Drosophila melanogaster: one gene and its partner. The protein of the gene in region 1 interacts with the protein of each later gene in a biochemical or structural test. Each region holds a gene or a part of one and is shown in the gene's direction. Other genes may lie near its edges. The genes, in order: nmo and pk.

Region 1 (5,149 bases):
AGGAGCGCGAGAAAATCGAAGCCCTGCAGCGGGAAAAGAATCGCATCAAGTCCGGCAAGGACATGACCGAGGCCAAGCGGCGCATGGAGGAGTTGGAGATGAAGAAGATCGTTGAGCAGCGCAAGCGCGAAAAGGACGAGGAGAAGGCGGCCCGCGATCGGGTAAAGGCTCAAATTGAGGCGGACAAGGCAGCACGCAAGGCTAGGTAAGGATTAGCCCTATCCTTCCACTTCATAATTCATTATAATTCATGGTATGCAGAGAACAAAAGGAATTGGGCAACGCAGAGCCAGCTCCATCCGTGAGCTCCACCACAGTTTCGTCACCACCGGCCGGTGTGAAATCTCCGCCGCGAGACTACACCGAAACCCGCATCCAGGTGCGCCTGCAGGATGGCTCAACACTACAGGAAACCTTCAACGTCAAGGAGCAGCTGTCCGCCGTACGTGTGTTCATCCAGATGAAGACCGGCATCGAGTCGCCCTTCTCTCTGATGACCACCTTTCCGCGCAAGCTGTTCGCCGAGGACGACTACGAGAAGCCGCTGGAAGTGCTCGGCTTGGTTCCATCCGCTGTCATCACCATGACCAAGACGCCCGCATAAATCTTTCCTACAAACTGGATATATTTGAATCCGGGTAATCTCTCCCATAAACTAGAACCTAAATACGAAAAAAACGCGGCGCGAAATATACCCCCCCCCCCCCAAAAAAAAAAAAAAAAAACAAGAAAAACAATTAATGTACGGTTTTATATATATATTAAACACAACAATCTCAAATACAAGTAAAGTTTTAGAGGATCTTTGAGGGCAATTATTAAATTTCTATTGAAAAGCGATGCTAACTTTCCAATAAACTTTTTTCCTTAAATTACAATAGGATTCAATTTCTATGGCTAATGATTGGTCCTGTAGTTCCTACATGAAGGGCTTCACAAAGTTCTTGATCTTCTTAACGCTTCGCTCGGCGGGTCGAATGTTGAGGTGCTGCCCGAATATGGTGAACTCCATGTTGCCCACTTTCATACCAAAGACGCACTCGCTCTTGGGTATTGTGCGCAGCCGATGGTCCTTGCCGAGCAGTTTCAGCACGTTCTTGGTGTCCATGACGCAGATGCCAGCCAAATTTTCCAGGGTGGAGCACTTGGACTGCAGCACCTTCATCTTGGCACCGTGCAAGTCCAGTTTCACCAACTTGCGGCTGAACTCGTCGTAGCGAGCATCGTGCACCTGGGGCACCTCGTCACCTTCCCTCAGCTCCAGATGCTCGCGTACATAGCCCTTCCACAGGTGGTGCAGTGGCAGTGCCTCCTCGTACTTCATCTGCTTGGTGGGAAGAGTGTTCAAACCAAGTGCCGCATATTCCCGGCGACTCAGCGTACTGGATTTGTGGGCGCGACGTTTTCGGGAGTGCTGCTTCTTGATCTTGGTGCCCTCCAGCATTGTGATGTGATCCGGATTGATGTTAACATTGCAACGCTGGTGCGGAATCACCAGATCTGAGATAAATTCCCTCAATTCACTTGTCGCGTGTTCCATTGCGTTGTTATTTAGTTTTATTTATTTGGTGATCAACAATATATCGATAGGCGCGGAACTCTATCGATGGAAGAAAAGGCGATATATTAATATTATTTTTTCAGATGCATAGCTGCATGTGCACTTCGTATAATACAAGCTAAATAATAATTATTGCTATTAATTATTAGAAACTGTATGTACCTGCAATTTTTCATATTCAACGCTGCAATTTAAAAATAACGTACATTCGGGGCAATCTGGCGTTGCCATCCTGCTTTTGCATTTGAAATGTCATAAAATACAAAAAATACCAACGAAATAGAGATGGAAATAGATATAGTGCGGGCACTCTAAAAACATCGATAGCCAAACCTTGAATTAATATACGAGTGGAAAACATCGGACCTATCGATGTTTCTATCGGTGGCCGACCACCTCTAGCAACGCCGAACATATGTTTCAAGTCTCTCTCAACTTTCGAACGGAGCGGAACGTCGAGCGCACGAATTCGGAATTATCGTTGAAACAAACGTCGCCGCGTGTGATCGAAAATCCAAGTTAGGCTCATTCGTTGGGAAGCTGCGAGGTAATCAAACGCCAACCGACGACCAACATCCGCCCGCCCCCCTTTTAGCCACGCCCCGCGGCCCGTGTGATAACAAAGATAATGCAATAAAGGGCAACCGTAGAAAAAAAGCTGTGAGAGAGCCAAGAAACGTGACCCAGGCAAAATTTTGTTTGTTTGTCTGGCTCTGCATATACATGTACATAGTTTAAACGTGCGTGCGATTGTGTATGCGCGTGTGTGTGAGCAGCCGTCGCGTTAGTAGTAGTAACACGCCAAACAACAAAAAATTCATCTCGCGTTATTTACAATAATAATTAAACAAAATTACAAAATTGTTTCCGTCTCGCCCGCTAGTTCACTCTCTCTCACACACACACGCACGAATATTACCCCCGGCGCGTTTTACTTCCATCTCGCTCCCACAAAGGCGGAAGAGTTAAACACAAAAAAAAAAGAAAAATAGAAAAGAAATTATAAACGAAAAACTGCCACCGCCGCTGCTCAATAATTTGTGCATTTTTTAAGGTAATTTAAAGTGAAATGGAATGTCTTGTTTGCATAGGTTAGGTTTAATTAGTCCGGAAAGCTAAGCGAAACCCTGGGAAATATTACATATCCCCGGGCGAATTTCTTTTGTCCCGTTACTTTTCGATTTTCATGCGAGCGTTTTTTGATTGCGTTCATTTTCTGGCGACTTGGGGGTGCTCGCCATTGTTTGGTTTTCAACATTTGTAAATTTGCATGAAAAGTCGGATTTTAAGTGATTTTTGTGTCTTTTGAGCGGCTTTTTGCGCAGGCAGCGCAGTCCGAAAATCACTCAGAATCGCACTCACATGCGCACACACTTACAATTGTAATACACGGACGCGCCCCGGTCGCGACAGCTAACGGCACTTTTCATGTCCTCTCGCGCGCTCTCTCTCACTGTTCTCCTCTCTTCTTTCTTTTTGATTCCTGTGCAGCATCATTTGCCACCAAAAATTCGAAAAGCAAACAAAAGTAACGACAATTAAAGTACAGTGAATAATACCAAAACCGGATTAAATTAAATCTAGCTTTTACAGAATATACAAAATATTGAGCCTAGTGGTAACTAGTAACTAGTGGTCGAATAGGAAATCAATTCTCAATAGTTTTCTTGCGTACTGTGAAAATAAATCAAGATTGTAAATTCTGTTAGCAACGTTTAAATTATTCACAATTCAACTGTCTACAAATGATTATTTATCCACTTCACTCCGCAGTTTCATCACAATGTCCTCAAATCTAATTTAAATAAGTAAGAAGTGTAACAAGCGACACGCAGCGAAACAAATAGCGCTGAATAGAGGAGCACGCCAAGGCAAACAGCAACAAATGGCCAACAATTGAATGGCGGCCATCAGTTGGCCCCAGCGGCATCCATTGAGCAATCAACACCATTTCTCCCACATCAAATCAAGCACCACTTCCAGCAACACCATCACCTCAACCACCTCAGTCACCACCGCCGTCACAGCTTTGGGAATCAGAACCACAGTCCAAGACCCAGTCGAAACCACCACCACCACCAGTAAAAGCCACAGCCTAGCAGGACCACAACCACTGAGCTCCATCGCCAACAAATACCAGAACCGGGTGCAGCTGCTCGAATTATTTGGAAAACTTGCCGCGTAGTCCATCAATGAGCGTTTCGATGTCACTGGTACAGGGTGGTGCTGCCGGTGGTGCGCCACAGGGCGCCAGCGCAATCTTGGCCGCAGCGGCTCCCTACTATCAACCGCCGGCTGTTCCCCAGGATGTTCAGCCGGATCGTCCTATCGGCTATGGAGCATTCGGAGTTGTCTGGTAAGTATAATGATTCTATATCTCAGTGCAATAATCCAGATTATGGGCGAAGGGTGTTGCCATAGTATTGGTACAATCAAATTTTTTCTTGGTTTAGCAAGCATGGTTATTTTCGGGTTGTTTTGCTGGTTGTCCAAAGACATCCCGCCGAAATGGGCAATTATATTTGAGAATTATAAGACAATAGGTGGTATAGAATGCAGAAAAGGGTGTATTAACGTCATATCCTATTATATGCTTGTGCCCCTTAAAGAATTCATGTAATGATAATTTGTAAATGATTTCATTATAAACACATTCGGTTAAAAAGTTGTAAGACCGACTTCGAATCCAAATGTTAATACCCTCCTGTCAATGTACTTTTATAATTCAAATATCTAAAGATTAAACAGTTGTTCTTTGACTTGAAAAAGTCTTTGTTCTATTCGAAGAAAGGGTATCTGCAGCGTCGTTACTTTGCTGTGCGATTTTATGTCACGGTCTCGCCGTGGGTTCAGCAACCTTCTGCTTAGGCCTTTGATTCTGTAACCCTTTTGATTGTGTTGCTGCTGTTGATGTTGATGTTTTGTGCAGCGGGCAACGTCAACATCCTCGTACTCATTTCGATTCAGAACCTCAGTCCCGGGTCTCAGCTAGCTGTCCTTCATGGTTTTGTGCCTTTGTGCAGTTTTCAACGTTGCTGCGGCCCCCCGAGGGTGGATTTTTCCTATAATATATTTCTTACCCTAAGCGCGCTGGCTGGCTGACTGGCTGGCTCTCCGTGTTTTGGCCTCCCTCCCCCCCCCTCAATTTGGACTTTTCTATTTGCCCATCTCCTCGTTTATCGGCCTCTCTCTGCTTTTTTTTTTCTATCCCCTCGACTCTTTTGATTTACATTTGTGTGCAAAATTTTACATTAATGGTTGCTTAAATGGGGTGAGCATTGAATATTTGTTTGTTTACTGGGTAAAGTAAAATATCTAATATGGATTAGCAACATTTTGTTATCAATGTAACCGAAAAGCTGCAAATCTATCAAGCAAATGATTTTAACATAGCACAAAAAAAGGTGGCAATATGAAATCATCATATCTATTTATTATTTAACTCGACTTCCTATCAATTTATTCGTAGTGTAGCCAGAAGTTTGGCAACGCTGCATTTACAAATTTCATTCACGTGTAAAACGGCATTTCCGGCTATAATCAAAACGCAAAGTGAGCCCAGTTTATCGGGCGGGTCTTTTGAGGAGT
Region 2 (4,965 bases), on another chromosome or scaffold:
ATTCCGCTAATAAACGAACCACGTCCAGCCCCCTAAACTCCAGCCATTCCCTCCCAGACTTGGCGTGTCTAAAAGTTGTCTGCACCTTGGGGCTGCTCTTTTGACGTTTCCTTCCCAAATGGTGTTTGATGAAATGTGGCAACGAATGAGGCCGTTATGCTTGCAATTAGCCAAATTGATTTTTTGATAGCGTCAACGCTATCCAACTATAATCCCCATTCTTATACTCAATCTTATTTTGGCCCTTATTAGACTCAGCTAATTGCCTTCGATTTACATTTTCGTTTCAGGTAAGCCAAGCGCAGAAACCTACATAAGTATACGTATTGCTGGACAGGTCTTTGATGCCCGGCCCCTCGGGAGCTTCACACGCCGCCGATCCACAATTCAAAATGCCATAAATCATGCATCATTGAGGCATCCCAGGTTGTGCAACAAAAAGCGGCACGCAGAAACGTAGTGTTTCCGTTCACACTCAGCTTCTAATTAGCCTGCGCTGAGATGGCACTAATGTGCGGCCTAATGATCTCCAGTCGGCAGGCAATGATGGTGACCAACTAACATGGTCAGCTGGAAATCAACCTTGAACTCGTCAGATGGCCAACACGGTTGACATCGCACTTTTTGTCACTTCAAGCCCACTTTGCAATGTGGTTGGGAAATATTTTTGCTTTCTGACAAGAGATATTTCATCACTAAGTACCGGCTTTAAATGTAGCTTATGTTATATTTTTGGTCACATCTAATTTATAAAAACCACTCTTAATTACTCAAAAGGGTTTGGCCAAATCGTATTTCACGGTTACCATATTAAAAACTCTTTTGGGTACCCTTCTAGTGTTTTAACTGTTAAAGTATGAAAATCATTTTAGTACGTATTCTTTCGTGTATGTGTGGTAATCAGCTCTTCTGATGCACTTCATTACTACATGCAGTTTTTTCTTACTTAATTATTTTAAGTTTATTGCTCTTTAAACACCATTAATTTACAAGGTGTTTATTACTTAAAGTTAATTATTTAAGATTTGAACAGCGCTGCCATCAGAATACGGCTGGATATATAACTACTAAATTCTTACATCCATGGGAAGGTAGATTACGCAATTCACTATTTATGAACACGAGGCATTCTATGTAAAAGCCCTATTATTGTCCCATAGAGTCCTGGAAAGTTCTTCAGATACTTCAGCATCTAGAATTTTAGAACCCTATATTGTTTGCAAAAAGAAACAAGAAACTTATATTTCTACATTAGACTTAAACGATGAAATATTAGGAACTCAGATTCTACAGAGAATCTTACGCGCAAATCTACATGTATATGATTCTAAAAATGCGTAGTAACGAAGCATACTTTTGGGATGGTAGTGTAAGCAATGGAGCTATCAAACAAGTTCGATGTTGCAGTTGCGGATTGAGTTGCAGCTTATGATATTTGGCGTTTTATACAAATTTAGACAATTTTAACGACGAAATCGGAAACAAATTACTATAAACTATCTTGTTATCGTTAACTACACTTAATAGTGATAGTATTTTGGCAGCTCGTTGAAAGAACACTAAAGCAAGAAGTCCCACGAACACCTTACCTTCATCGAACACGATCCACAGCCTAAGATCAAACCACACAGAAATCCACATCTGGGCAGGTTCGATCAGTCTGAAAGCGTCGTCAGTTGCGAGCGGTTTACATCTGGCAACAGGTGCGGGTTAGTCGTCGCGTAATCCGTCTGAACGATCGATCGATCGCGCGCTCTTCGGCTATGTCGATTTCGGTCCACGTTATCTTGCGCCAGATCTGTCGTTTACCGTTTTTCAGCCAGATCGGAGCAAAGTGCACAAAAAGCTGCTAACTGAATTCGCAACAATTGCAAAAAATTGACAAAAGTGAAGTGCAATCCATAATCCAGAGTGGTCCCTATCAGGGCCAGCTAAATAAGTCTGGCATAGTGTTCCTTCCTGGGGCCAAGTGAATTAATGCAACAATTGGCCTAAGCGCTCATTTACGCTAAATGCTCGGGATAAGCCACACGGGCAAGTGAGATGTGATTTAAGCCATGTTTTCGCCTGATGATTGTCAACGCAGCTCGTTTCGTACAACACGGATACCAGCTGATACTCAAACTCAAACTCCTTCACTGATACAAACGCTTTCGTATTCGTATTCAGATACAGATACAACTGACAATAAAATTACATTAAAAATCAAATGAAATTCGAGGCCGATTGATATGCGAGGCACAGACGTCGGGCCGGCTGCTTTAGCGCAATATTTTTATGGGATTATCGAAGGTCGAGAATCTGTTAGCCAAGGTGTGTGGCTGATACTTAGGAAACGAAAGACTTGAGCAACGAACTTTGGATATGCCCGGCCCGTCGGTGTAATGGCTTTCATAAGCTTATGCACATTACACGTCAACTGAAGTGCTCAGCTTGATTTATTTAGATGCGTTAAGTTTTAATCGCCATTCGCAGCGCACTTTCACCAACTTGCTGCAGCCTCGCGGAATGAAGTCATAACCAAATAGGCTTACGACCCGCTCCAGCACATAAAACATGACTCGTCTAGCCATAAAAACACTTGCCAAAGCCCGAAATATTTTGATTACCGCGCACAGCTCTTGGCTTTCTCCGCCGCTTGATCCAATTAGTTTTTGGTGGGCCATAGTGCAGATAAAGCTGAGGATCTACGGATCTGGTGATCCAAAGCAGCTGCCACCCACAGAAGTGTAATGAAACGGGCTTACATGGCGGCAATGTGTCAACAATGGCTTGTTAGCAATTGCTTTTCAGTCCCGTGTGTGTGTGTGTGTGTCTGTGTGGGCTTCGAACACCTCATTGACAAGAGACATTTGACTCGAGCTGAACGTGTGTGTGGGCCGGGGTTGAAATTTATCTCCGATTTCTAATTGCCTGACATGCCAATTTGAATTTAAAGCGCACCGATAGTGGTTCTGCGGCGCATTCCTCCGCGGTGTATGTACATAGCCCAGGCACGGTGGCCATAAAGCACCAACGGAACACTGCAATTCGCTCTGGTCTTTTATGGCCCGGCCAACTAAATCAATTTTCGCACTGCGGCTGGCTTCGATTCCGGGCTTTATTGAGAAATTCTTCATAATTATGTAGCGTCGGCCGGCGGCGGTTCGAAATAAAACTGTTGTTTATGGCCGAGTTGCGGCAACTAGTTGGCTCAATTATGGAGCTGCTGCATCAACTTTCTCCCTCACTATGGGCCAACTGCCACGGCTGCTTAACCCCAATCGACGCCTCGAACTGACTAACTAACTAACTAACTGGCGTGTTAATTTGTTGGTTAGTTTACTCCGCACGCAGCCATCTAGCCACAATTGCCGGAGCATGAAGGCAAGATGCTCTGGCTATCTGGCTGTCGGGCTATCTGAGATACAAAGCAGCTAAAGATTCCCGCCTCGGAATAGATTGGCCACTTTACAGTTATCGACTTGGTTTTGTTAGCATAACAAAAGGTCCGAGTGGGTCAACAACCTAACTTCGTTATGTCAATCTCTGTGTCTGTGCCCCACCATTTGCATATTACACATGTCTCACGTCCATTTAAAGACGCAATTAACGAACCATTTCCCAGCTATTCATCATTGGCGAGCGAATTTCGGTCTGTAAATTAATTAGGCCCCGTTATGAGCTTTTGAGGCGGGAAGTCGTAAATAAGTATTGGATCCGTCGATGGACGTATGCAAACGCCAATTTGAACTGTCATCCTGTCAGCTCGCGTTAGTTTCCCAACCATCTTCCAGGCAGATAAGAACGGGTTCCCCGGAAAATGGAGCAACGTTAGCTGGCCCGGCCCGCTCGTTTCCTCTCACTCAACGCCATTTGATTGGATTTGACATTTAACACGAGTGCGCTGCAGATTAGACCGGCCAACTGCCTACCGCCCACAAGGTGTCCATTTTGGCGGCGTGCCGACTCGATTTTCATTTCACTTTGTTTTCCACGACATCGAACGATTTTCGAGATGCGATCGGGTTTTATGTGAGCGCAATAAAAACTTGAAAAGGAATTCCATTTCTGCTTAGAGCAATCAATTTCGATGGCGACAAAGACGTTTAGCACCCCGCTCCACCGATAAGCCAGGCGTGAGATTATTATCCGACCCAATGAAATATGAGGCCCAGACAATGGCTCATTAGATCGCCGGGCTTTCGCCCAAACTAGTTTGGCTGGCGGACCTAAACTGTGTAATTATTACGGCCTGGCCCAGCCGTAGCTTTCAGAGGCTCAAATTATAGTTTGGCAGTAAAATAGACAAACAAGTTAATCCATTAGCGAGTGAGACATCCCGCCTGACTGCCAAACAGAACCGGAAAGAATCCAGCTCTGAAGACCGCTATTGGGTGCATATCTCTTATTGTTTATATTGTCTCCCTGGCGGGATTCGTATGGTAATATCGGAAAATGTGCCAGCTGCATAGGCCCATCCGACTGCATAATAAATTATGAAATTTTACAGTTGCAGCCGCGCTGAATGAGTTGTCACGTCTGCGGCTTTCTAAACCACTTAGGTAGGCAGTGATAAGTCCATATATATGTCAGATTCTGTGGCGCTGAATGGGGTTCTTGATAGCTTGATAACACAATTTTAACCCGTTCAAAAGAGACTTTCCGGGCAAATGCGGCTCAAGTGGGCGCAACACTAAACACAAAAGGTTGAGTGCTGCGGTGAACGGCTTAACTGCGCGTTGGGAAAGTAAACCAAGACAAAGCAATTGACTTTTTAACCTGCATTTCTGTAAATTACACTCCGAGAAAAATCTACATAAATAGTCATAAAATTAATTGCGCCTGTCTGCCATTTTCCACGCAGTTTCCCAGCCGCCGGCCATGAAATCTTGAGCCCCGGCAAATGCCTGGCAATAAAAGGCACCATAAAGCTACCATACTTGAGTTTATGCCGTATGCAAGGGGGGACACTCCTGGTCAACT

The links.
Region 2: of the proteins of nmo (region 1) and pk, one has a biochemical effect on the other in vitro, tested with the Drosophila melanogaster proteins (one study listed by BioGRID).

Annotation. Positions count from the first base shown.
Region 1 is NT_037436.4:7,977,066-7,982,214, forward strand, and holds the start of nmo (nemo), read left to right. Parts: upstream 1-1,980; 5' UTR 1,981-2,108; exon of another isoform or gene 2,109-2,444; 5' UTR 2,445-2,615; intron 2,616-3,334; 5' UTR 3,335-3,753; coding exon 3,754-3,917; intron 3,918-5,149. Other genes in the region: CG8209 (uncharacterized protein), read left to right, coding at 1-205, 262-604; POP4 ribonuclease P/MRP subunit, read right to left, coding at 920-1,540.
Region 2 is NT_033778.4:7,185,576-7,190,540, forward strand, and holds the start of pk (prickle), read left to right. Parts: upstream 1-1,657; 5' UTR 1,658-2,038; intron 2,039-4,965. UniProt on the Drosophila melanogaster protein: Acts in a planar cell polarity (PCP) complex; polarization along the apical/basal axis of epithelial cells. Correct expression of the alternative isoforms is required for PCP signaling in imaginal disks.